Linked DNA regions of Anolis sagrei. Each later gene encodes a partner of the first gene's protein in a complex. Links are inferred from orthologs where the notes say so. Each region holds a gene or a part of one and is shown in the gene's direction. Other genes may lie near its edges.

Region 1 (12,674 bases):
AGAGTCATATAATGCAGTTCAAGGCATTATATTGAGTCTGCACTGACCATATAATGCAGAATTTGGACTGATGGGGCCTTTGTTTTTTAATGGTTCAGTTTACCCAAACTTTGTTTCATGCATGACCTTATTTAAAAAATATTGCATAACATGACCTTCACGTGTCTACAAAATGAGTTCCAAGTTCATGCTTGGATTCCCATTTCCAAGATATCTCACGATATCTATGCAAATAGTCCAAAATCGGTGTGGAGAAACATCCAAAATGCAAAGTACTTTGTGGTGAGGTTTGATGCCTTGGGCCCTTTCCATGGAGAGAGGCTCCTTTCCACCTGGGCTGACCCACATTCCCCACAGTGTGCCTGTTTGCGGCGGGAGAGATCCTTCCCTCCTTGGGAAATCTGTGAAAATGACTCACCCCACGCATGAAACCAGGAAGCGAGAGCCGGAGAGTGTTGGCGCCCAAAAGGAGGAATCCTGTTTTCCCCAACACCTGCCTCTCCTTCCCTGTCGCAATTCGAATCCAAGATTGTGGCCACCCGGTTGCAGGAAAATAACCAAAGGGAGGCCCTCTTGCGTTCTCCTCCATCCCATCTGAATCCAGAATATGTCCTTATATAGAATCTTAGAGTTAGAAGAGACCCCCAAAGGCCATCTAGTCTAACCTGTATCTACAGCGGACATGGGCAAACTTCGGCCCTCCAGGTGTTTTGGACTTCAACTCCCACAATTCCTAACAGCCAGTAGGATGTTAGGAATTGTGGGAGTTGAAGTCCAAAACACCTGGAGGGCCCAAGTTTGCCCAAGCCTGTTCTATAGCATTGAAACATGACAGTTAAATTAGTCCCAAGCTGCATTCATTCTGCAATATAGATGCATCCATAGCCTCCTCTTTCCTGTCCTGATGGTGCCAGACCTCACCCTCCACTCTGCTTTACATACTCAATCTAGCTGGATGCAAGAAAGCTTAATTTAAAGCTTTCTTCTCTCATCTTCTTAGGTAAAGATTTTCCCCTGACATTAACTCCAGTTGTGTCCAACTCTGGAGGATGGTGGTCATCTCCATTTTTAAGCCAAAGAGCTGGCGTTGTCCGCAGACACCACCAAGGTCATGTGGTTGGCATGACTGCATGGCATGCCGTTACCTTCCCGCCGGAGCAGTACCTATTGATCTAGTCACATTTGCATGTTTTCGAACTGCTAGGTTGGCAGAAGCTGGGGCTAGCAGCGGGAGGTCACTCTGCTCCCCGGATTCTCCTTAAGTAAGTGAATTCCATCCTTTGAACTGAATTTTGGATAAATACAATTTAGGCATCCCAAGAAAAGGGGCATCCAAAGCGATTCCGGGAATGCAAAAGCAGCCAATAATATACAATACCATTTACTTCTTTTGGAAGTTGCTTCTGCCTCTTTTCATGTCTGATAAGAGCCTGCTGCAGCTTTGCCTATCACACAATAATGGAGCATCTGCAAAACATATATAGATGTAGATATGTTATCAACACCAAACACACACACAAATATATATTTCTGGTCCTGGAAGAGCATTCTCACTTCCTCTCCACCTGATCCTTCTTTGCGTCTTCTCCCTCCAGGCCCCAGCCAAAGCAAACAACTCCGGCCCCCATAAGTGCGTGGATGTTGCAACATTTCCGAAAGGATGAAGAAGATCCCGAGAGAAGGGAGCTGCTTGGATCAAAGTCGAACGTGTCTGGGAGCCGGAAAGGGAGCCAAAAGGCCAGCGGTCAAAGAGTAAACGAAAGGAGAGCATCTCAGAAATGGCTTTCAGGGTCAGATTGCAATAGTGTTGTTTTGGCCTCTTTGCTCTCCTCGGAGGCCGAGAAAGTGTGACTTGCCTAAGGTTTCCCTGTGGGTTTTCAAGGATTTGAACCCTGGTCTCACAGAATTTTAGTCCAACAATCAAATCATAACACCACACTGGCTCCTCATCAGCTGTCTGCCTGCCTGCCTATCAGTTGATCGATTGATCAATCAATCTACCTATCTCAATGATCTCTCTCTCTCTCTCTCTCTCTGATCTTTCTATCCATCGCTATGATGATGTCTGTCTGTCTGTCTGTCTGTCTATCTATCTATCTATCTATCTATCTATCTATCTCTATCTATCCCTATGATCTCTCTCTCTCTCTCTCTCTCTCTGATCTTTCTATCCATCCCTATGATGATGTCTGTCTGTCTATCTATCTATCTATCTATCTATCTATCTATCTATCTATCTATCTATCTATCTATCTATCTATATCTATCCCTATGATCTCTCTCTCTCTCTCTCTCTCTCTCTCTCTCTCTCTCTTTCTCTTTCTCTCTCTCTCTGATCTTTCTATCCATTCCTATGACTAGCGGTCCCCTGCCAGGCATTGCTGTGGCCCAGATCTGGAAAATAAAGTAATGAGAAAGTGTTGGTTTCTAATATATGTAATGTCTTTATGCTTGTGGGTAAACCATATTTCTTGCTGTTTCTTTGTCAGTGTTGATGTGGAGATTGTCTGGTTTGCCTACTCTGGAACAGGCAACATATCATTGTCCTCCTTTAGGGGGTCCCTTTCAAATCTATGATAGTCTATCTCTCTGTGTGTGAATCTTATCTATCTCTATCTATGGCTGGATGGCTCTTTGTCAGGAGGGCTTTGATGCCGTTTTCTTGCACTGATGAAGGGAGTTGGACTGGATGGCCTTAAGTATTTTCTGTTGGTCATGGGGGTTCTGTGTGAGAAGTTTGCCACAATTCTGTCATTGGTTGAGTTCAGAATGCTCTTTGATTGTAGGTGAACCATAAATCTCAGTAACTACAACTCCCAAATGTCAAGGTCTATTTCCCCCAAACTCCATCTGTGTTCATATTTGGACATATGGAGTATCCGTGCCAAGTTTGGTCCAGATCCATCATTGCTTGAGTCCACAGTGCTCTCTGGAGGTAGGTGAACTACAACTCCCAAACTCAAGGTCAATGCCCACCAACCCCTTCTAGAGTTTTCTGTTAGTCATGGGAGTTCTGTGTGTCACGTTTGGTTCAATTCCATTGTTGGTGGAATTCAGAATACTCTTTGATTATAGGTTAACTATAAATCCCAGCAACTACAACTCCGAAATGATGAAATCTGTTTTTTTGAGTGATGGTCACTCTTTGGGTTAGTCATTGTATTATGTCCAAATTTTGTGTCAATTCATCCAGTGGTTTTTTAGTTCTGTTAATCCCACAAACGAACATTACATTTTTATTTATATAGATTACACCTATCTGCCTGCCTGCCTGCCTGTCTATCTATCTATCTATCTATCTATCTATCTATCTATCCATCCATCCATCCATCCATCCATCCATCCATCCATCCATCCATCCACCAATCCATCCATCCATCCATCCATCCATCCATCCATCCATCCATCCATCCATCCATATATGCTATCTATATTTCTACCTATTCCTATGATTGATCAATCAATCTATTTACCTATCCCTATGATATCTCTCTGATCTCTCTCTCTGTATCCATCTATCCTTACGATCTCACGATCTCTCTATCCCTAAGAGCGATCAATCTATTCCTATGATCGATCAATCTATCTCTATGATCTCTCACTCTATCTGACCTATCTATCTATCTATCTATCTATCTATCTATCTGTATCTATCTATCTATCTATCTGACCTATCTATCTATCTATCTATCTATCTATCTATCTATCTATCCCTCTGATCTGTCTATTTATCTATCTATCCCTATGATCCCCTCCCCCCCAATATATATATTTATCACCTATCTATTGGTTTCTACTGTGAGGCTCCAAGTTCCTTCTGATTCACAGGCAACCCATCATTTATTTTTCTTGGCAAGATTTCTTTTAAGGAGATTTGCCTGGCCTTCCTCGGAGGCTGAGAGGGAAACTCGTCTAGAGTCAACCAATGCATTTCTGTGGCCAAGGAGAGATTTGAACCCAGGTTTCCAGAGTCTTATTCCAACATATACGCAAACTTTGGCCCTCCAGGTGTATTGGACTTTAACTCCCATAACCCCTAACAGCCTACTAGCTGTTAGGAATTGTGGGAGTTGAAGTCCAAAACAGCTGGGGGGAGGAAGTTTGGCCATGCCTCCATTAGACTCATATAAGTTTAAACTGCATTATATAACAGTGTAGATGGGACCTAAGCTGGTACATGAAAGCAGTGTGACCCCCACTTGAGTAGTCCCTGGCTTGAATGCTATGGAATCATGGGATTTGTAGTTGTGTGAGGCATTGACCCTCTTTGGCAGAGAAGGCGGAAAGCCTTGTCAAACCAGAACTCCTAGGATCCCATAGCATCGAGGCATGCAGATTGCATTCACCCTACAGTGCGGATGCATTCCCCATCACCAAAAACGATCCCCAATGGTTTATCAGGCAATGATAAGCCCTTTCAGAATTCAGGTTGACGTCTGTAGGGAACGTCACAGGATGTCGCCGCCTCCAGTTAATTAGTAATTTGTTAATTAGTGCCGGTTTGCTACCTCTGACCTGCTTCCCAAAAATACCTTGAGCCTAACCTCACTTAGATGTCTACAGAATAGAATAGACTATACTTCCAGGTAAACAGGTTGAGTCTCCTTTAACAGAAATACTCCAAAATCCCAACCAGTCCTGCTGGGTGGCTGAGAGAGTGGCACCTTTGCTTCCCAATGGCTCAGTGTCCACAAACTTTGTATCACCTGCAAAATTAATGAAGATTCCCTTCAGGTGAGGTGTGCAACATGTCTGGGAAACACAAATGCACATCGTGTTTGGACTTGGGTTCCGCCTCCAAGAGATCTCAATATGTAAGTTCATGCAAATAAAGGGATTCCGAAATGCAAAACACTCCTGGCCCCAAATGTTTCGGATCAGGAAGATCTCTGCCATCGCTTCAGAGATTGCTTCATTTACCTTTAAGGGGAGCATGGGCAAACTTCAGCCCTCAAGGTGTTTTGAACCTAAACTCCCACAATTGTGAAAGTTGAAATCCAGAATACCTGGAGAGCCAAAGTTTGTCCATGCCTGCTCAAAGGACTCATGGGCCTTCCAAATGTTTTTGGACTATAGCATCCACAAGCCCCGATTGGTTGACCATCCCAAGAGTTCCCCAGGTTAAATAAACTCCAAAATAAATACAGTCCAACTCGGCAACCACTAACCCCAAAGGTTAAAAGTCTTTGGGGAAGGAATTGGGGTCAGAAGGTGTCCTCTGCTCAGTCTCTTCTAAGCACATCATTTCCTATACTCCAAATCCCAGTTCACAACAGTCCCTCAGACTGTTGGGAGTTGGACTATTGTTTGTTGTTGTTGTGCCTTCAAGTCACAGTCTGTTCACAGTCTGGTGGTAACGGCAAATCTAAAGTTTAGGGCCGGGTAAACAACCTTGGTGGGCCAGATATGGCCCGCAGGCTGTAGTTTGAGGACCCTGTTTTACAGTATAGATGCACCCCTAATAATTCCCCCAGTTCTTCTTGCTTCTCTCCAAAAGAGAGTCCTTGGTGGAAGGCACCTTACAGGCCCCAGGCCGAGGCTCCCAGGTTGCCCATCTGCCTTTGTGAAGGATGAGTGTTTGTCCTTGGAAGGGTTCCAGGCTGGGCCCGATGCCCAGGCCAAATAAATGCGTCCTCCAGTCCCTTTTCCGCGCTCAGCATCCCAAACCATGATGGCTTGGGCCAAGGGCAGCTTTAGGGAAGCCATTGCAAGGTGTCCAAGCACCCCCTGGTGGACAGAGGTGGGGATGGTGGACTATATAGATGCTACTCACAGGTCCGTTGGATGGAGTGTGTATCATCTACACCAGGCTAATGCAACCTACCAGCTGTTAGGAATTGTGTGAGTTGAAGTCCAAAACACCTGAAAGGCCAAAGTTTGACCATGCCTGATATACATAGTTGAAATGAAAACCCCAAAGGTCATCCAGTCCAACCTCAACTCAGAGCTGGATGTTCTTTAGGGTCTCTTCCAACTCTAGGATTCATCTATCTATCTATCTAGTATCTATCTATCTATCTATCTATCTATCTATCTATCTATCTATCTATCATCTATCTTATGAGTTGGACTGGATGTTCTCTGGGGTTTATTCCAACTTCACGATTCACTTATCCTATCTATCTATCTATCTATCTATCTATCTATCTATCTATCTATCTATCTTAATGGTTGGACTGGATGTCTCTTCCATCATTCCACTATCTGTGTTTGTCTGTCAGGGGTTAGACTGGATGAACTTTAGGGTCTCTTGCAAATCTACAGTTCATCTATCTATCTATCTATCTATCTATTTTTCTTATGGGTTGGAATGAATGTCCTTTGGGGCCTCTTCCAACTGCGATCTATCCTTTCTTTCTTTCTTTCTTTCTTTCTTTCTTCCTTATGGGTTGAACTGAATGTCTATTAGGGTCTCTTCCAACTATGATCTATCTATCTATTTATCTATCTATTTTATGGGTTGGAATTAATGTCCTTTGGGGCCTCTTCCAACTACGATCTATCCTCTCTCTCTCTCTCTCTCTCTCTTTCTTATGGGTTGGACTGAATGTCCTTTAGGGTCTCTTCCAACTATGATCTATCTATCTATCTATCTATCTATCTATCTATCATCTATCTATCTATCTATCTATCTATTTTATGGGTTGGAATGAATGTCCTTTGGGGCCTCTTCCAACTACGATCTATCCTCTCTCTCTCTCTTTCTTTCTTATGGGTTGGACTGAATGTCCTTTAGGGTCTCTTCCAACTATGATCTATCTATCGAACTATCGAACTATCTATCTATCTATCTATCTATCTATCTATCTATCTATCTATCTTATGGGTTGGAATGAATGTCCTTTGGGGTTTCTTCCAACTTTACAGTTCTATGGTTCTAGGTTGGGCCCAAGGAAAACATTTTCCAAACTCCTGGCCTGGGAGAGAGAGGGGTCAGCCAGCCCCGAGGCCTCCTCACCCCTTCAACCAACCCCATAGGGCTGTGTTTGGGAACATTTCCGCACAGCCTGCCGGGTTCCAACTGCCCTTTGACTCTTTGACGAAGCCAGACGGATTTCCTTAATCACCTTTGACAGGTTCTGCTGCGTGGCCACCCTCCCTCCCTCCCTCCGTGTCCATTTCCATGCCAGTCTTTGCTTCAGTGGGGCAGCTAATCTTAGCCTCCAAGGATTGCTGAAGTCCAGTGCCACCCCCCTTTTGCTAAATCCCATCACTGGTCGCTCTCTCCCCGGATGCAGCCTGACACTTGATGCCGGGCGCTTGCCAAACCCTGAATGGTGGGGTGCCATAAGAGAGCACCCCAAACAGAGCCAAATTTCCCCTTTCTTTGACATCTGAGTCGGTAAGTGATTCCTATTTTATTTGGGCGCACTTTCAAGACATGGTTGGGTTTGACTTTGGTTGAATGGGGAAAATCGATAGGCCAAATGTGAATCCAAGGATGGGCCACATACGGCCAATGGAATACATAATCAAACCAAATGGTTTTAAATGGGCATCAGAGTCTGGCAAACTGGGATTAGGGCATCAAAGTTGAGTTTAAAGTAGTAGGTTGGAAATGAGAGAACTTTCTGTGGTTTGAAATGGGCATTGGAGTACGGCAAAGGGGAATTAGGGCATCAAAGTTTGAGATAGTTTGGAGACAAGGGAGCATTGGAGTACAGCAAAGGGTTGCATGGGTTGGGCATGCAACTTTTCAGTGTTTTTCAATGTGCATCATGGAACGTTGAAGATGAGACTAAGGAATAAAAGTGGTATACAATGCGATGGGACACATGACTTTTTGGCACAAGTCGGAGCATTGATACATCTATAAGTAAACATGAGAGCGATAAGTTTGATACATGGGGTGATTAAATGCTATTAGGTATGGTCTATGCCAAGTACGGCTCCTTCTGTCTGGTTCAAGGCAAACCCTTTGAGTCATCTGCAGGAGAGATAAAGCAGAGTATAAATAATAATAATAATAATAATAATAATAATAATAATAATAATAATAATAATAATAACAACTCCTCTTTGTTTGAAAGGAAAAAAGTTTCAAAAACCAAGGACAAAGACCTTGTGGTGCTTGCAAATAGTATGGAGGGTGATAGCAAAGCATGTTAGAGATGGGAAATTAGCCAATTAGCAACCCACACGCAAGGGCTTAGGAATCCTGGAAAGAATAAGCCACCTAGCTTAGTACCATTGTGGCTTCTTCTTGCCCCAAAGTCCAGAAAGAGAGGGAAAATGGAGAGCATTTGGATATGAAACACAGTTGAGTGCAATATCTTCAACACAGTGGAACATTATTACTCATATTACTGAAGGAAAGCGAGATTGTAGAGTGAAAAAGTGAGAAAATATAATATTATTGCAGTGGAATTGGTTACTTTCTCTGACCACCTTCTCCCAATGGTCAAGGTTTCTGTGTTTGTATTTTATGCTTACATTATTGTTGTTGTTGTTTTGAGGTGCCTTTGGATATTCAGAGGTGCCAGGGAAATATGAGTGTTTGCAGGACTGCAGGTCCCATCATCTATAACTCCATGGTTGTGCTGTGTATGGTAATGATGGGAGTTGTAGAAAAGACTGAGCAAAGCACCTCAAAGTGTGCAGCTTATGTCTCCGCTTTCCACTGACTTTCTGGCCCCTTGTGCAAGACAAGAGGGGTTGGTCTAGATGACCTCAAGGGGTCCCTTCTAATCATATGCTGGGTGTGGGAATGATGGAAGTTGTAGAAAAGACTGGGCAAAGCATCTCAAAGCATGCAGCTTATGTCTCCACTTTCCACTGACTTTCTGGCCCCTTGTGCAAAAAAGAGGGGTTAGTCTAGATGACCTTAAGGAGTCCCTTCTAATGGTATGCTGGGTGTAGGACTGATAGGAGTTGTAGAAAAGACTGGGCAAAGCACATCAAACTATGCAGCTGATGTCTCCGCTTTCCACTGACTTTCTGGCCACTTGTGCAAAAAAGGGTGATGGTCTAAATGACCCCAAGGGGTCCCTTCTAATGGTTTGCTGGGTGTGGGAATGATGGGAGTTGTAGAAGAGACTGGGCAAAGTACATCAAACTATGCAGCTGATGTCTCTGCTTTCCACGGACTTTCCGGCCACTTGTGTAAGAAAGGGAGTTGTAGAAAAGAATGGGCGAAGCACATCAAAGTGTGCAGTCAATGTCTCCACTTTCCATGGACTTTCTGGCCACGTGTGCAAAAAAGAAGGGTTAGTCTAAATGACTTCAAGGGGTCCCTTCTAATGGTATGCTGGGAGTTGTAGAAAATAATGGACAAAGCGCATCCAAGTGTGCAACCAATGACTGCTTTCCATGGACTTTCTGGCCCCTTGTACAAAAAAGAGGGGTTAGTCTAGATGACCTCAAAGGGTCCCTTCTAAGGGTATGCATGGTGTGAGAATCATGGAAGTTGTAGAAAAGACTGGGCAAAGCCCATCAAAGTGTGCAGCCGATGTCTCCACTTTCCATGGACTTTCTGGCCCCTTGTGCAAAAAAGGGGGTTAGTCTAGATGACCTCAAGAGGTCCCTTCTAATGGTATGCTGGGAGTGGGAATGATGGGAGTTGTAGAAAATAATGGACAAAGCACATCAAAGTGTGCAACCAATGACTCTGCTTTCCATGGACTTTCTGGCCCCTTGTGCAAAAAAGAGGGGTTAGTCTAGATGACCTCAAGGGGTCCCTTCTAATGGTATGCTGGGTGTGGGAATGATGGGAGTTGTAGAAAAGACTGGGCAAAGCACATCAAAGTGTGCGGCAAATGTCTCCACTTTCCATGGACTTTCTGGCCCCTTATGCAAAAAAGAGGGGTTAGTCTAGATGACCTCAAGGGGTCCCTTCTAAGAGTATGCATGGTGTGGGAATAATGGGAGTTGTAGAAAAGACTGGGTGAAGCACATCAAAGTGTGCAGCCGATGTCTCCACTTTCCATGGACTTTCTGGCCACTTTTGTAAAAAAGGAGGGGTTGGTCTAGATGACCTCAAGGAGTCTCTCCTAGAGGTATGATTTAATTAATATTATTTATGCAATATGACTGATATATGTTCATTATTCTCGTGAAAGAGAAGAATTGGGAAAGCGCAGAACAGGGTGGCTTTCTCTTGTCTTTCAACCCCTTGTGTGTGTGTGTGTGTGTGTGTGTGTGTGTCAATGGAGAAAATAATGCAACTGGCTCCTTCCTTAAGAGTTTGGGGTATTTCAAAAAGTGTGTTTTAAACTGTACCTGTGGGCTTGTGGTTTTAAATACACCTCAAGGTTTATTTAAGGTATCCTGAGGACCCCAGGAGCCAGCGGAGGGAGGGAGGGAGGGAGGAGATTAATGCAATATAGGCCACCCTGTGCGGTATTTAAGCTGATAGGGAATTAATGGATAAAATTAAGTTCGCTTTCTTGAAAGGGATGAGGGTGTGATTTTTATTCTGAGCAATGGAAGAAACCAGGACCTGTAATGTTTTGCCAGCATAGAATCATAGAATCAAAGAGTTGGAAGAGAACTCATGGGTCATCCAGTCCAACCCCATTCTGCCAAGAAGCAGGAATTTTGCATTCAAATCACCCCTGACAGATGGCCATCCAGCCTCTGTTTAAAAGCTTCCAAAGAAGGAGCCTCCACCACACTCCGGGGCAGAGAGTTCCACTGCTGAACAGCTCTCACAGTCAGGAAGTTCTTCCTCGTGTTCAGATGGAATCTCCTCTCTTGTAGTTTGAAGCCATTGTTCCGTGTCCTAGTCTCCAGGGAAGCAGAAAACAAGCTTGCTCCCTCCTCCCTGTGGCTTCCTCTCACATATTTATACATGGCTATCATATCTCCTCTCAGCCTTCTCTTCTTCAGGCTAAACATGCCCAGCCCTTTAAGCCGCTCCTCATAGGGCTTGTTCTCCAGACCCTTGATCATTTTAGTCGCCCTCCTGTGGGCACATTCCAGCTTGTCAATATCTCTCTTGAATTGTGGTGCCCAGAATTGGACAAAATATTCCAGGTGTGGTCTAACCAAAGCAGAATAGAGCATGGGGAGCATGACTTCCCTAGATCTAGACACTAGGCTCCTATTGATGCAGGCCAAAATCCCATTGGCTTTTTTTGCCGCCACATGACATTGTTGGCTCATGTTTAACTTCCTGTCCACGAGGACTCCGAGATCTTTCTCACACGTACTGCTCTCGAGCCAGGCATCATCCCCCATTCTGTCTCTTTGCATTTCGTCTTTCCTGCCAAAGTGGAGTATCTTGCATTTGTCACTGTTGAACTTCATTTTGTTAGTTTTGGCCCATCATCTCTCTAATCTGTCAAGATCGTTTTGAATTCTGCTCCTGTCCTCTGGAGTATTGGCTATCCCTCCCAATTTGGTGTCGTCTGCAAACTTGATGATCCTGCCTTCTAACCCTTCATCTAAGTCATTAATAAAGATGTTGAACAGGACCGGGCCCAGGGGGGAACCCTGCGGCACTCCGCTCATCACTTCATGAAAATAAGTTGACCACAGCGATCAATATAGAAGGAGCATCACACATCCAAAATAATTTCCTACCTTGGAGGCTGAGAGAGTGTCACCCTTGCTTTCTGAGAGTGCAATAGACCCAAATGTTGCTTCTTTGCACCAACTTTGAGAGAAATTAGAGTCCAAGCCTGTCTATTTGGGAAGCTTTGGAAAAAAGAAGGGAGGGAAAAAAAGAGGATGCAACTCTCCTTGCAGGGTTCAAAACCCCACTTGGCCCTGGAAACTATAGGATGGGTGACACTTAGTTTGGAAAAAGTCCATGCAAAGGATAGAGTGTCCAGTAGAGTCTCCTCTTTTGGGAGTGATAGGAGCCCCCAGTGGCACAATGGGTTAAACTCTTGAAGACCGATAGGTCAGAGGTTCGAATCCAGGGAGAGCACGGGTGAGCTCCCTCTGTCTGCTCCAGCTTCCTAAGCCGAAGAGCTGGCATTGTCCATAGATGCCTCCAAGGTTATGTGGATGGCATGATAGTATAAGCAGTACCCATTGCTTTACTCACATTTGTATGCTTTCAAACTGCTAGGTTGGCAGAAGCTGGGCCTAACACCGGGAGCTCACCCCACCCCAGATTCGAACCGCCAACCTCTCAGACAGTAAGTTCAGCAGCTCAGCAGTTTAACCTCCAAGATCATGTGGCTGCCATGATTTTATCAGTGGTACCTATTGCTCTACTCACATTTGTATGCTTTCAAACTGCTAGGTTGGCAGAAGCTGGGCCTAACAGCGGGAGCTCACCCCACTCCCCAGATTCGAACTGCCAACCTTTCAGACAATAAGTTCAGCAGCTCAGCGGTTTAACCTCCTCAAAGAGATATTGTTGTTGTTGTTAGTATTGGAGCCCCCGATGGTGGGTTAAACCCGTGTACTGGCAAGATTGAAGACTGACAGGTCAGAGGTTTGAATCCAGGGAGAGTGCGGATGAGCTCCCTCTGTCAGCTCCAGCTCCCCATGCGGGGACATGAGAGAAGCCTCCCACAAGGATGGTAAAATATCAAAACATCCGGGCATCCCCTGGGCAACATCCTTGGAGATGACCAATTCTCTCACACCAGAAGCAACTTGCAGTTTCTCAAGTCACTCCTGACCTGAAAATAATAATAAGGAGTGCTTTGATTGTGGTCCTGGCAAAACCACAATTAGGTGGATCTGTAATTGGTTAAGTAAACGAAACCAGAGGGTGT
Region 2 (13,273 bases), about 14 Mb from region 1:
TGCCTCTTCGAAAGCTGTGAGAGCTGTTCAGCAGTGGAACTCTCTGCCCTGGAGTGTGGTAGAGGCTCCTTCTTTGGAAGCTTTTAAAGTGGAGTTGATGGCACAGGAGCCTCACTTGTGGTCTTTGCTTCTTCCAGCACGCCGACATTTGTCCGCCTCTCTTCCCAAGAGATTTGCATGAGATGTATGTTTGCAATTATGTATGTTTTTGCAGATTTATGTTTGCAATTATATATGTTTGTGCATGAGATGGATGTTTGCAATTGTGTATGTTTGGCCATGAAATGCATGTTTGCAGTTATGTATGTTTGTGCATGAGATGTATGTTGGTAATTATGCATGTTTGACCATGAGATGTATGTTTGCAATTATGTATGTTTGTGCATGAGATGTATGTTTGCAGTTATGTATGTTTGTGCATGAGATGTATGTTTTCAATTATGTATGTTTGACCATGAGATGTATGTTTGCAGTTATGTATGTTTGTGCATGAGATGTATGTTTGCAATTATGTATTGTTTATCCATGAGATGTATGTTTGCAATTATATATGCTTGGGCAAGAGGTATTTATTTATTTATTTATTTAAAACATTTATATTCTGCCCTTCTTACCCCAAAGGGGACTCAGAGCAGAGCACAGCATATATACGGTAAACATTCAGTGCTGGGACAAGAATTCATATACGCGTACATAAACATTAAAAACATTTATCTCAATATTAAAATACACCATTTAAAACTGTCCTGGTCATCAGCGTCAAATCTAACTGGCCTGGTAATCTTTCCTATTGCTGCTTTATTGCCTTGTCCCGAAAGCTTGGTCTTACAGCCAAGTTTTTACCATCCTTCTGAAGGACAGGAGGGAGGGGGCCGATCTGATCTCACCAGGAAGGGAGTTCCACAGCTGAGGGGCATTCACTGAGAAGGCCCTGTGTCTCGTCCCTGCCAATTGCACCTGTGACAATGGCGGGATGGAAAGCAGAGCCTTCCCAGAGGATCTTAATCTCCACGATGTTTCATAGGGGGAGATACGTTCAGACAGGTAAATTGGGCCGGGGCCATTTAGGGCTTTGAATTGTGCCCGGTAGCAAACTGGTAGCCCGTGGAGCTGGCGTAACATGGGAGATGTATGTTTGCGATTGAAGGAGAGAGATAATGCATCTACACGGTAGAATGAAAGAGGTTTGGCACCATTTTAACTGCCAGGGCTCAAGGATATGGAATCCTGGAAGTTCTAGTCTTGCAATCCCTTTAGCCTATTCTGCCAAAGAGTGCTGATGCCTTTCCAAACTACAAGTCTCAGGATTCCCATAGCCTTGAGTCAGAGCAGTTCAAGTGTTGCCAAACTGCATTCATTCTGCTATGTAGATGCACCCTTGGAAGCAAAGGATCCAACATCCAAGAATATGTTATCATGGGTTGCGGGTTGCATTGAGCTGTGGTAATGAACGTGTGGTAATGAAACTGCACTCATTCTGCAGTCTAGATGCATCCAGATAGAGCAGGCCTGGGCAAACTTGGGCCCTCCAGGTGTTTTGGACTTCAACTCCCACAATTCCTAACAGCCTCAGGCCCTTTCCTTTTCTCCCTCAGCCGCTTAAGAGATCAGGTCAGGAATTGGTGTCTTTGTTCCTTTTCATGTGTTTTGCTTAATCCGAAACACAGGAAGAGATATGATATATATGAGTACTTCTCCTTATCTAGAATCAGAGTTCCTTTTTCTCCTTCTCAACTCACAACAAAGCCACAAGCGTTTGGATAGGTGTCAGGGTGCTTCCTTTTGCTTGTTTGTTTTGACCATTTGTGCCACAAGTGAGAGGGAGCTTATAAAGTGGGACATATGCGGCCACAAAAAAACTAATGGGATTTTGGCCTGCATCAATAGGAGTCTAGTGTCTAGATCCAGGGAAGTCATGCGACCCCTCTTTTCTGCCTTGGTCAGACCACACCTGGAATACTGTGTCCAACTCTGGGCACCCCAGCTGAAGAGAGATATTGACAAGCTGGAATGTGTCCAGAGGACAGCGACTAAAATGATCAAGGGTCTGGAGAACAAGCCCTATGAGGAGCAGCTTAAAGAGCTGGGTATGTTTAGCCTGAAGAAGAGCAGGCTGAGAGGAGACATGATGGAACATGTGGAACAATGGCTTCAAACTACAAGAAAGGAGATTCCATCTGAACATGAGGAAGAATTTCCTAGCTGTGAGAGCTGTTCAGCAGTGGAACTCTCTGCCCCGGAGTGTAGTAGAGGCTCCTTCTTTGGAAGCTTTTAAACAGAGGCTGGATGGCCATCTGTTGGGGTAGCTTTGAATGCAATTTTCCTGCTTCTTGGAAGGGGGTTGGACTGGATGGCCCATGAGGTCTCTTCCAACTCTATGATTCTATGTTTCTATATCACTCCGGCTTCCCTGTTGTGTTGGACTACAACTCTCAACATCCCCGACCAGGATGGCATCAGGTTGGGGAAGAGAGGGACCTTCCACGCAGGATACTTTTGCCACCTACCTGAACACATGGAGTCGAGGTGCAGCGGTGATCCCTCCCCTCCACAAACATACACACCAACTGAATCCTGACACTAATGCTTTTGACACTAATGCTGCTTTACGAACAGATCTGGATGGACAAAGCGGATTGAGCATATGGCCAAGGGCAGCAAGGGACAGTCAAATTAGCGGTGGCCCAATGCAATTAGCTACCAGTAGGTGAACCTACGTAAGAGCCTCAGAGAGATAGTGCTACCTATGGGTTAGAGCAGAGGAGGCTGGGAACTCAGATACCGGGGTCTTTTGAGGAGGCGAATTTGATCTAAAGAGATGGAGAAATCAATGAAAGCCAGTCTGAGACAAGGCTTTGGTTTGCAGTCTTTAATGATATCTACTAGAGAAAGCTGATGCCTCACCAAACTACAGTTGCTATGATTCCATAGTATTGAACCACGGCAGTTGAAGTGGTTTAAAACTGCATTAATTCCACAATGTAGATGCATCCCTAGGCAGGTAAAAGGAAACGCTACCCAGGATTATCACTGGTCAACACGCATTTTGGTGTCTCAAATATTAGCCCAGTTTGTGTGTATCTTACCTGCTGATTCCAAAAATGGCACCTGTTTCTCCCCATCAGCTCTAATTCTTGAGATACAGAACATATAGTGGCACAATGTAAAATAAACAACATGTAGTTCACATTTGATCAGCCCACACACTGCCTTGCCAGACAAAGAAAATATGCCCACACAGATGAACACTAAAGAACAAGTAGTTTACTCTTCGTAAATTTAGAACAACAAATGTACAATGTGATCAGTTGCATCAACTCACATAATGTCCTTTTATGAGAGATTTAAAAATTGTATTTCTTTGGCCGTATGGATAAAATCTTTCTGCAGCCCATAAAGCGAGAGCGCACTCCAAACTCTATCTCTCCTTGCTTCTCTCTGAGCACTTGCATAGCTCAAGCCTGAACAAAAATGTAACAGTAACCAAAAGTCCCAGGCTCAGCCTGCTCCCCAGGCATTGTCCGACCAATCAGCTTAATGAATCTTATTTTACAGTTGACACACACACAGTGACTGATTCCTTGCATGCTCCAACACATATGACCTATTCCTATCATCATCTACTTGTCCATAGAAAATCATGATAACCATATCTAGGAAACTAAAGCTGTTGTGGTCTATTTAATTGAATTTTCTGAATCAGAGCCCCAAATAATCCAAGGAACAGGCCTAAAAAACCAACAGTTCGCTTTTGCCTGAGTCTATATTCTCACCGCCTCTGCTGAGTTGCAAACTACTTTGACGAGATGAACTTAAGTTTGCATCAATTAAACTAGCAGAGGATGAAGGTGGAAATTAGGAAGAACAAAAAGATTTTTTGTTGTTTATTCATTCAGTCGCTTTTGACTCTTCCTGACCGCATGGACCAGCCCATGGCAGAGCTCCCTGTCGGCCATGGCTACCCACAGTTCCTTCAAGGTCAAGCCAGTCACTTCAAGGATACCATCCATCCATCTTGCCTTTGGTCAGCCCCTCTTCCTTTTCTCTTCCCTTTTCCCCAGCATCACTCTCTTCTCCAAGCTTTCCTGTGTTCTCATTATGTGGCCAAAGTATTTCATCTTTGCCTCCAACATCCTTCCCTCCAGTGAGCAGCCAGGCATTATTTCCTGGAGTATGCTGTGTTCTGCATACCAGTTGAATAGGTTGGGTGAGTACCCTGCCATACTCCTTTCCCAATCTTGAACCAGTCTGTTGTTCCATGGTCAGTTCTTACTGTTGCTACTTGGTCATTATACAGATTCCTCAGGAGACAGACAAGGTGGCTTAGTATCCCCATACCACCAAGAATTTGCCACAATTTATTATGATCCACATAGTGAAAGGCTTTAGAATAGTAAATAAAACATAAATAGATGTCTTTCTCCATTATCCAGCGGATGTTGGCAATTTGATCTCTCATTCCCCTGCCTTTTCTAAACCCAGCTTGTACATCTGGCAACTCTCGCTCCATATATTGCTGGAGTCTGCCTTGCAGGATCTTGAACATTACCTTACTACAATCGTTTTCAACCTTCCTAATGCTGTGACTCCTTAATACAGTTCCTCATGTTGTGGTGACTCACAACCATACAATTATTTTCATTGCTACTTCATAACTTTAACTTTGCTACTGTTATGAATCGTAATGTAAATATCTGATATGCAGCATGTATTTTCATTCACTGGACCAAATTTGGCACAAATATCCAATACGCCCAAATTTGAATACTGGTGGGGTTGGGGGGCATTGATTTTGTCATTTGGGAGTTGTAGTTGCTGTGATTTATAGTTCACCTACAATCAAAGAGCATTCTGAACTCAACCAGCAATGGAATTGAACCAAACTTGGCACACAGAACTCCCATGACCAACAAAAAATACTGGAAGGGTTTGGTGGGCATTGACCTTGAGTTTTGGAGTTGTAGTTCATCTACATCCAGAGAGCACTGCGGACTCAAACAATGATGGATTTGGACCAAACTTGGCACAAATACTCAATATGCCCAAATGTGAACACTGTTGGAGTTTGGGGAAAATAGACCTTGACATTTGGGAGCTGTTGTTGCTGGGATTTATACTTAACCTACAATCAAAGAGCATTCTGAACCCCACCAGCAATATAATTGGCCCAAATTTCCCACTCAGAACCCCCATGACCAACAGAAAATACTGTGCTTTCTGATGGTTTTTGGTGACCCCTCTGACACCCTGAAAAAAGTGAAGAAAACAGAGTAGCTGAAAAAAGTGAGACAACAGAGGACGCATCATGACTGCCAAATTGGGGCAGTTGGGAGGTATGGCAGCCATGCCCATTAACAAAATTGAAGTATTATAACTGTGAAAGGGCCCTCAGAATTGGATTCAGCTCATAATTCTGAGTAAGCATGCACAGGATTTCACTGTTAAAGCACAATACCACACGCACCCACTGTAATCAGGAGAAGAAAGAGAGCCAGCCAGATGGCGTTTTTTTTTTTTTTCATAATCTCAGATTAAATCCACCTTCTTGTTATGATCCCTTCTTTATATGTTTTTAATTATATGTAAAAGCAATCTTTCTTTTCTCCTTATTGCAAGACTTGGACGGTGCTGAACAGACTGCGCTCTGGCACCACGAAATGCAGAGCCAGCCTTAAGGAATGGGGCTACAAAGTGGAGTCTGCAACATGTGGAGGAGAGCAAACCAAGAACCACTTACTACAATGCACTTTGAGCCTTGCCACATGCACAATAGAGGACCTTCTTACAGTGACACCATAGGCACTCAAAGTGTCCAGCTTCTGGTCAAAGGAAATTTAGTATAATGTTAAGTTTTTAACTTTGTTTGTGGTTTTTCTATACATTATAACTCAATTTGCTTCTGACACGATAAATAAATAAAATGGCAAGACTTCCAATTCAGGCCTAAATTTGGAGCAAGTATGTACAGTGTTGCACATCTCACCTTCCCATTGCCATTACTAGGGAAAAAAGGATGAGCCAGTGAGATGAGAATATTTACAAGCTCAGGTTAAACCCACCTGCTCCCATTTGCAGTTCCTTCCTTACTACGCTCACGGATGCAATGGGAGGAGTCTCTCTTGTCTTTTCCATATAAGGATACCTTCTTTGAATAATTAATGATATGCATCCAATGTATTTAAGGCAAAGGAGCACAAAGGCAGAGGCAAACTTTCCATGTGAGCATTGAACGCACATGGCTTCTAAGGAAGGAAGTTTCTTGATTTTATGAGGCATGGACCACCACAAGTAGTATCTGAGAAGCAGAATCCATATGCTGATTATTGTTTAGGTCAGGCATGGGCAAACTTTGGTCCTCCAGATGTTTTGGACTTCAACTCGCTTAAGCGGCTGGGGGGGGGGGGGAAGGAAGGGTCCTGAGGCTGTTGGGAATTGTGGGAGTTGACGTCCAAAACATCTGGAGGGCCAAAGTTTGCCCATGCCTGGTTTAGGTCCTCTTGTGATGAAGTAGGGTTGTAGTTGTTTAGTTTCACTTAGCCAAACCCTTTGAATCAGTTGTTGACTGGCAGAAGGTCTAAATCCTATTGTTTCCAATAAAGGTTACTTTCAGGTATCGTTACATAGTACTGCAACTTTTCGTCTCTCCTATGACACTTGGTGGCACTTGGAAAAGTAGTTGATTTTGGCTATTTTGTCATGATCTGCATGTCTTATCAGCTTTTTTCATGTGGTTGTTTATTACCAGAAGTGCTATTAATCTACAGGGTGCTTTTCTGCTTAAGGTAGACCAATTCCTGGGGTCAGAGAGCAATAGCTTTAGCTTCCACTGTGTTGCCATCTGTCCACTCGTCTCTACATATGCCATCTCCTCATAGGGTGATCGGCATGTTTTCATTCTTTTCAATAGATATTTTGCTCTCCCCACCCACTCACCCCTTGCCCAGCCACTTTGAGGGCTGGCACATGTTGAGGAACCGTGCCCAACGTTAAGGGAAGAGAGGCCAGGAGGGCAACAAGGAAGGAGGGAGCGAGGAAGGCCCGCAAAGCCCAAATCCGATTTCCCTGGCGTTAAAGAGCTTGGAGCAAATGTGATCAGCGCAACCTAAAATAGCCCCCTCTCTCAATCTCTCTCCCTTTGTGTGTACAATATGTGTGTGCACACATGCAGACTCATCATGGCCACCAGGTGTAGCAAAGTGAGGACTCCAGGGTCCCGACTCCACCCACATCCATCCCAGGGAGTCTATATAAGAAGGTGACCTGGGCACAAGGCCTTCCACTGGCTAGGTTGAAACAAGGCAGGAAGGACAAGCCAGGAACTGTTGGTGAAGCGGCGTGGGGTGCGTGAGCATACACCCAAACCATGGGCAATAGCAAGAGCGGAGCTCTGTCCAAAGAGATCCTGGAAGATCTGAAGCTGAACACCAAGTATTCGGAAGACGAGCTGTGCAAATGGTATGAGAGCTTCCAGAAGCAGTGTCCTGATGGGCGCATCAGCCGGGCTGAGTTTGAAAAGATCTACGGCAACTTCTTCCCCAACTCTGATCCCAAGGTCTATGCCCGGCATGTCTTCCGAAGCTTTGACACCAACGACGATGGGACCCTAGACTTCCGGGAGTACATCATTGCACTCCATCTCACCTCCACCGGCAAGACCAACCTCAAGCTGGAATGGGCTTTCTCACTCTTTGATGTGGATCGCAATGGAGAGATCAGCAAACATGAGGTTCTTGAGATCGTTGCAGTAAGTGAAGGGGATGTGTGGGGCGGTGAGAGGGACAGGGAGCCATGGGGAAAGGGTCACGGGAAAGATCCAAGTTGAGAGCTTCCCCACAACAGTGTGCTGTGGATTAAATTACATTTATGAGGCTAACTGTTGTGGATCTTTTGCACAGGACTGTTTGGAGGATACTTACTTACTTACGCGATCCCTCGTAGCCTGAGGATGATGGTCCTCCAAGTCTGGTGTCTTGGCGGATAACTCACTGAAGAAGCCACTGAACTGTTGAGTTGTTTAATGTTTTTCTCTGGGTAGTAGTTGATTTGGGGTGCATATCCCTTTACATCAGGTCTTCTTACAGCTGGAATGGCAATATATTCAACCCAAGTCCATTTCAGTAGATGGAAACCAGTGAAAGTGGCTAGCTCATATCCAGATCTCTCAAAGAGACATATAGTCCCATTCATGGAGCTGCATCACAAGCTTGCTTATGCTTGAAGCAAATTCAGTCCTACCAACCATTGTTCATTCTCCTATGGGACAGAAAATTATAATCCTCTTGGTTAGTCTTAACTAGAGTGTCTTACTCTACAGGTAAATCCCATTGACAATAGGTTACCAACTATAGTCACATGTTGGAGCCATACTTATTAAAGGGGAAGGACGGAAGGGGCAAGAACTGGACACGTGACTCCCCCTCAGTCCACCTGGACGTGATGGGATGACAAGGGATTACCTTGGTCAAAGGCTTTGTCTTTTGCCCAATGGAATTAGCCTTGGCCTATGGGGGGGAAATCCTGTTACGTCTATTTAACGAGATGAACGGGATTGACAGAGCAGTAAACAGCTCTAAATCCATGGCTAATTATATCTCACTGGCCTCAACTGTCCCCAGCAAGAAGCAAATGCCCATGTTTTATGCAGGATAGGTATTGCTATCTTTCTGAAAGAGTATATTCTAAAAGATCCAAATCTGTACGGCTCTATGCTACTAATTTAAACTGGTTTGAAACCACACTCAAAGATACTTGGAAATTCTAATATTGTATGAGCTTTTTAACAATATTTAAAGAGTCACATGGGCATACTTCATAGTCTATCATTACTTAGGACTTGAAACGATTGGTTCAGTTTACATGGCCTATTTGACAACACACCTTCATTGACAAAATTTAGGCTGTTGCTATTCCAAATGCTCTGAAATTCCTTCCCAGGAAGACTTGATATATCCAACAGTGACTCAAAACATGGAAAAGGACAGCATTCGGTTGGAAGGTGTCTTCGGTAGCCACATAAACTTGGCCTTACTTGCCTCTTTGTGGATTTAACAGAGCTCTGTGTACATGTCCAAAAAATCCTTGCCGTTGCTGACCTTCCTCCACTTTTCTAGCTTCTAGACTCTTTCCCCCTCCCCATGTAAGAGAAGATAGAGCAATCTGAGATTAAAGTTGGATTAGGTGGGATTAAATCCCTGACCCACTCCGTGCAATATTCGCCTTGCTTCAACTGTATCTTCAGGGGAATAACTTCCTCTTCTCTGACCTTGAAAAGATGGGATCATAAACAGACCATTCCCACGTAGGCCAAGATTCTGCACCGATAGTGCAGTTAAAGTGGGATCAGAGTGCCGTAATTGTGTAGTAGAGAACGTGAAAGAAGTCTCCTTTTGCAACCAGAGGTAGTAAATTGTTTTTGGTATTGAGGGTGAATTTATCTTTAGTCTGAGTGAAGCAATTGCAGGAGATGAGTGCCACGAAAGAGCAGTTGTTTACTACTTCTTATGTGAGTTTATTTATCTGCAGGGTGAGAGGATCTTGTGGGATTTTCTGCTTCAGGGCCCAAAAAGTATAGCTTAGCTATTCCTGTAAAATGAAACAAGAGGATGATTGGAAACTTAGGGAGGTACATTGAGGAATCACAGCCAGTGTCTCACCAAAATATAAGTTTTCGAGTATGATGAAACCATGGAAGCTAAAGTGGAATAACGCACATGTGCACACGCACATGCGCACACACATGTAACTGCAGGACTGATGCTGCAGTTTCGTTTATCCATGTCCAATATCTTAGCTTTTCCTGTAAAATGAAACAAGGGGATGATTGGGAACTTAGGGAGGTTCACAGCTAGTGTCTCACCAAAATACACGTTTTTGGGTATGATGGAACCATGGAAGCTAAAGTGGAATAATGTTATAATTATGTACATTAAGACACAGACACACACCTGTAACCATGTCCAACAAAATAGGTCCTCTCTAGGTATTTTCTAGGTCCTCCAGCACAACTTAATTGTACTCTTGGGCCAGAAGTCCTTCATTTCAATGGGATTCGCTATTACCTGCAGTTTCGCCTGTCCACACAAAGTCTGGGAATGTATTCCCCGCAGATACAGGGTTGATACTGTTGTGTGAATAGGTTCTCGCTACACTAGGCATGGGCAAACTTCAGCCCTTCAGATGTTTTGGACTTCAATTCCCACAATTCCTAACAGCCTCAGGCCCCTTCCTTTTCCCCCTCAGCCGCTTAAGCGGCTGAGGGGGAAAAGGAAAGGGCCTGAGGCTGTTAGGAATCGTGGGAGTTGAAGTCCAAAACAGCTGGAGGACCAAAGTTTGCTCACGCTTGCTTGACACAAAACTGGGAAGCGCTCACTTTTTAAATCCAAATTGGGCAATAAAAATCTGCTCAGGATTGTGGACTACCTGTTTTAAAATACCACGTTCCTATTGATACACATCAGAGATGGTTCCTTGGGCCTTTAAGGAAAGGATTATTATGTACAACCAGTGGTGACAGCATTAGACCTGGGTTAATCCCTTAGGTTTAGCATTGGTCTCCGTGTGTGACTTAAGCTTTGATGCACCGAAAACCGGAGAAAGGTCCTGTACCTTTAATGGGGTTTCTGAAAGCTGGCATCCAACAATACATGGGAATTAGTGTTTCTCTAGTCCGCGAATGTTTGTGCCACAATATACTATTTGTTTTCAAATTGTCACCAAACTCTTCTGTTGTGCCTGTCGCAACTGAGCACCTTGGCATTGCCCATCAGCAGCAGAGCAAAGGGTTTTTGGAAGCAATTGGCACACCAAAAGCAAAAGATGGGGAAAGAACACAAGGTTTTACACCAGGCATAGGCAAACTTCAGCCCTCCAGGTGTTTTGGACTTCAACTCCCACAATTCCTAACAGCCTACCGGCTGTTAGGAATTGTGGGAGTTGAAGTCCAAAACACCTGGAGGGCCGAAGTTTGCCCAGTTTTGAGCCTTAACAAAACAAGGCAAATTCTTCCACAGATTTTCAAACTCTGCATAGTGACAAGTTTGTGTGTCAGCTTCAGTGTGTAGGTGTGTCACTCGAAGATAATTAGAGATCTCTGAGTCTATGTGAAATATATTATCGAAGGCTTTCATGGCCGGAATCACTGGGTTGCTGTAAGTTTTTCGGGCTGTATGGCCATGTTCCAGAAGCATTCTCTCCTGAGGAGAGAATGCTTCTGGAACATGGCCATACAGCCCGAAAAACTTACAGCAGCCCTATTGTGAAATAAGCAATACATTAAAGATTTTCCAAACTATCAATGAAAGTTTTCATGAGATAAGTTGTGTCCCCATACATTTCATTATTACCATTTATAAGGGGCTGGTTTATCTTCCAGTTTGCTAGTAAAACTGAATTACTGTGTCGCGAAATGACGCGTATCTGAAAACATTAAATGTATGGAAATCTTTGCACTAGAGAAGCTTGTTTTGGTTAAGGACAACTTATAGGAGATTCAAATGCGCCCGACATACTACTAAGTTGATATATCCCGCATTTCAGCCGACCAAAATAGGAGCTCCCAGTGGCGCAATGGGTTGAACCCTTGTGCCGGTAGGACTGAAGACTGATGGGTCAGAGATTCCAATCCGGGGAGATCACGGATGAGCTCCCTCTGTCAGCTCCAGCTCCCCATGTGGGGACATGAGAGAAGCCTCCCACAAGGATGGTAAAACATCAAACATCTGGGCGTCCCCCGGGCAACGTCCTTGCAGACAGCCAATTCTCTCACACCAGAAGCGACTTGCAGTTTCTCAAGTCGCTCCTGACACACACGAAAAAAGCCGAATAAAATCCCTTCGACACAGCACACCAAATCACACTTCCCTGTTTAATAACATTGTGCTGTTCAGTACGAGGAAACCTATAAGGTAAGTCAGTAATAATTCCATTAAAAAATAATTCACAACTGCTCAGTGTTGTACATTGATTTAACATTCGTGCCTGTATTCGATACTCAACGTGTTATCCATTGAATCCTATTATATGGTACTTTCTGCAGATGGGATCTTTATGTGCAAAACAATTTGCCCTGTATGTTTATATATCAAATATATACTTTGTCTCCTTGTTTTGCCTACGAGTGGGGAAATATTGTGAATTGTATGTGTGATGCTGAACTGCTGGATGTCCCCCTTCAGCAAGATTTCAGCACATTTCCAATTGCTCTATTAAAAAGGCATAAAGACCTGGAATTCAGTATAGGATTTGTGTTTGCGGGAAACAGAATTGAGCAGTTTCCTAGTGTTTCAATTCAGCAATAAGATGGTATCACATTATTACATAGATCCCCCTGTGGTGCAGTGAGTTAAACCCTTGTGCTGGCAGGGCTGAAGACTGACAGGTCGGAGATTTGAATCCGGGGAGAGTGCGGATGAGCTCCCTCTGTCAGCTCCAGCTCCCCATGCAGGGACATGAGAGAAGCCTCCCACAAGGATGGTAAAACATCAAAACATCTGGGCGTCCTGTGGGCAATGTCCTTGCAGATGGCCAATTCTCTCACACCAGAAGCAACTTGCAGTTTCTCAAGTCGTTCCTGACATGGAAAAAAATATATATTATTACATAAGGGAGCCAATAATGTGCTATGAATTCTCTCACACCAGAAGTGACTTGCAGTTTCTCAAGTCACTCCTGACACGAAAAAATATTACATAAGGGAGCCCACCATGTGCTATAGTTGCTCTTAATGCATATTGACCAAAGAATGCCAACGAGCATCCATAGACCCCTTTACATATCAGGGCGCTCTTGTGGGTCCCATTATGTATCTTTGCAATTCACTAGGAGGTTCCCATTGCACTTGAGCGTGTGTAAAGATAGACAATGAAATCGACAATATACAACCATAGTCCTGGTTTCAAAGAGTGGCATTAGAGCTGATACTTTAAACATGCTCAGAATCCACTTTAACCACAACATTAGTAATCCCGGTGATGTAAAAGGAAATATATAGATTCTTCAGAGGCTCTTATATTCAAAAAGATAGATAAGAGATATGGAACAGAGCGACATAATAGATATATAATATTGTATATAGTAATGTCAGCAGAGGAAAGAGCATAAGAGGGCACTCTGCTTGCATTCCTCATAGCAAGCATGGGCAAACTTGGGCTCTCCAGGTGTTTTGGACTTCGACTCCCATAATTCCTATTGCCCATACCTTCTATAAACCCAGATAACTGAACAGGTTTGCAAGTCTACTCTCAGGTGGAAAAAAATACATATAAACTTCTATCCA

What was found.
Region 2: the proteins of GRK1 (region 1) and RCVRN are in contact, whole or in part, in an NMR structure (PDB 2I94), measured with the Bos taurus proteins. The link is inferred for Anolis sagrei from reciprocal best matches to the Homo sapiens genes GRK1 and RCVRN. Residues at the interface, in NP_776598.1 of Bos taurus: Phe3, Gly4, Leu6, Glu7, Val9, Val10, Ala11, Asn12, Ser13, Ala14, Phe15, Ile16; in NP_776590.1 of Bos taurus: Lys22, Trp31, Ser34, Phe35, Glu38, Cys39, Phe49, Ile52, Tyr53, Lys55, Phe56, Phe57, Tyr86, Leu90, Thr93, Ser94, Phe188, Glu189.

Annotation. Positions count from the first base shown.
Region 1 is NC_090026.1:5,171,303-5,183,976, forward strand, and holds the start of GRK1 (rhodopsin kinase GRK1), read left to right. Parts: upstream 1-7,131; 5' UTR 7,132-7,342; intron 7,343-12,674. UniProt on the Homo sapiens protein: Retina-specific kinase involved in the signal turnoff via phosphorylation of rhodopsin (RHO), the G protein- coupled receptor that initiates the phototransduction cascade.
Region 2 is NC_090026.1:18,714,517-18,727,789, forward strand, and holds the start of RCVRN (recoverin), read left to right. Parts: upstream 1-7,262; 5' UTR 7,263-7,363; coding exon 7,364-7,744; intron 7,745-13,273. UniProt on the Homo sapiens protein: Acts as a calcium sensor and regulates phototransduction of cone and rod photoreceptor cells. Modulates light sensitivity of cone photoreceptor in dark and dim conditions.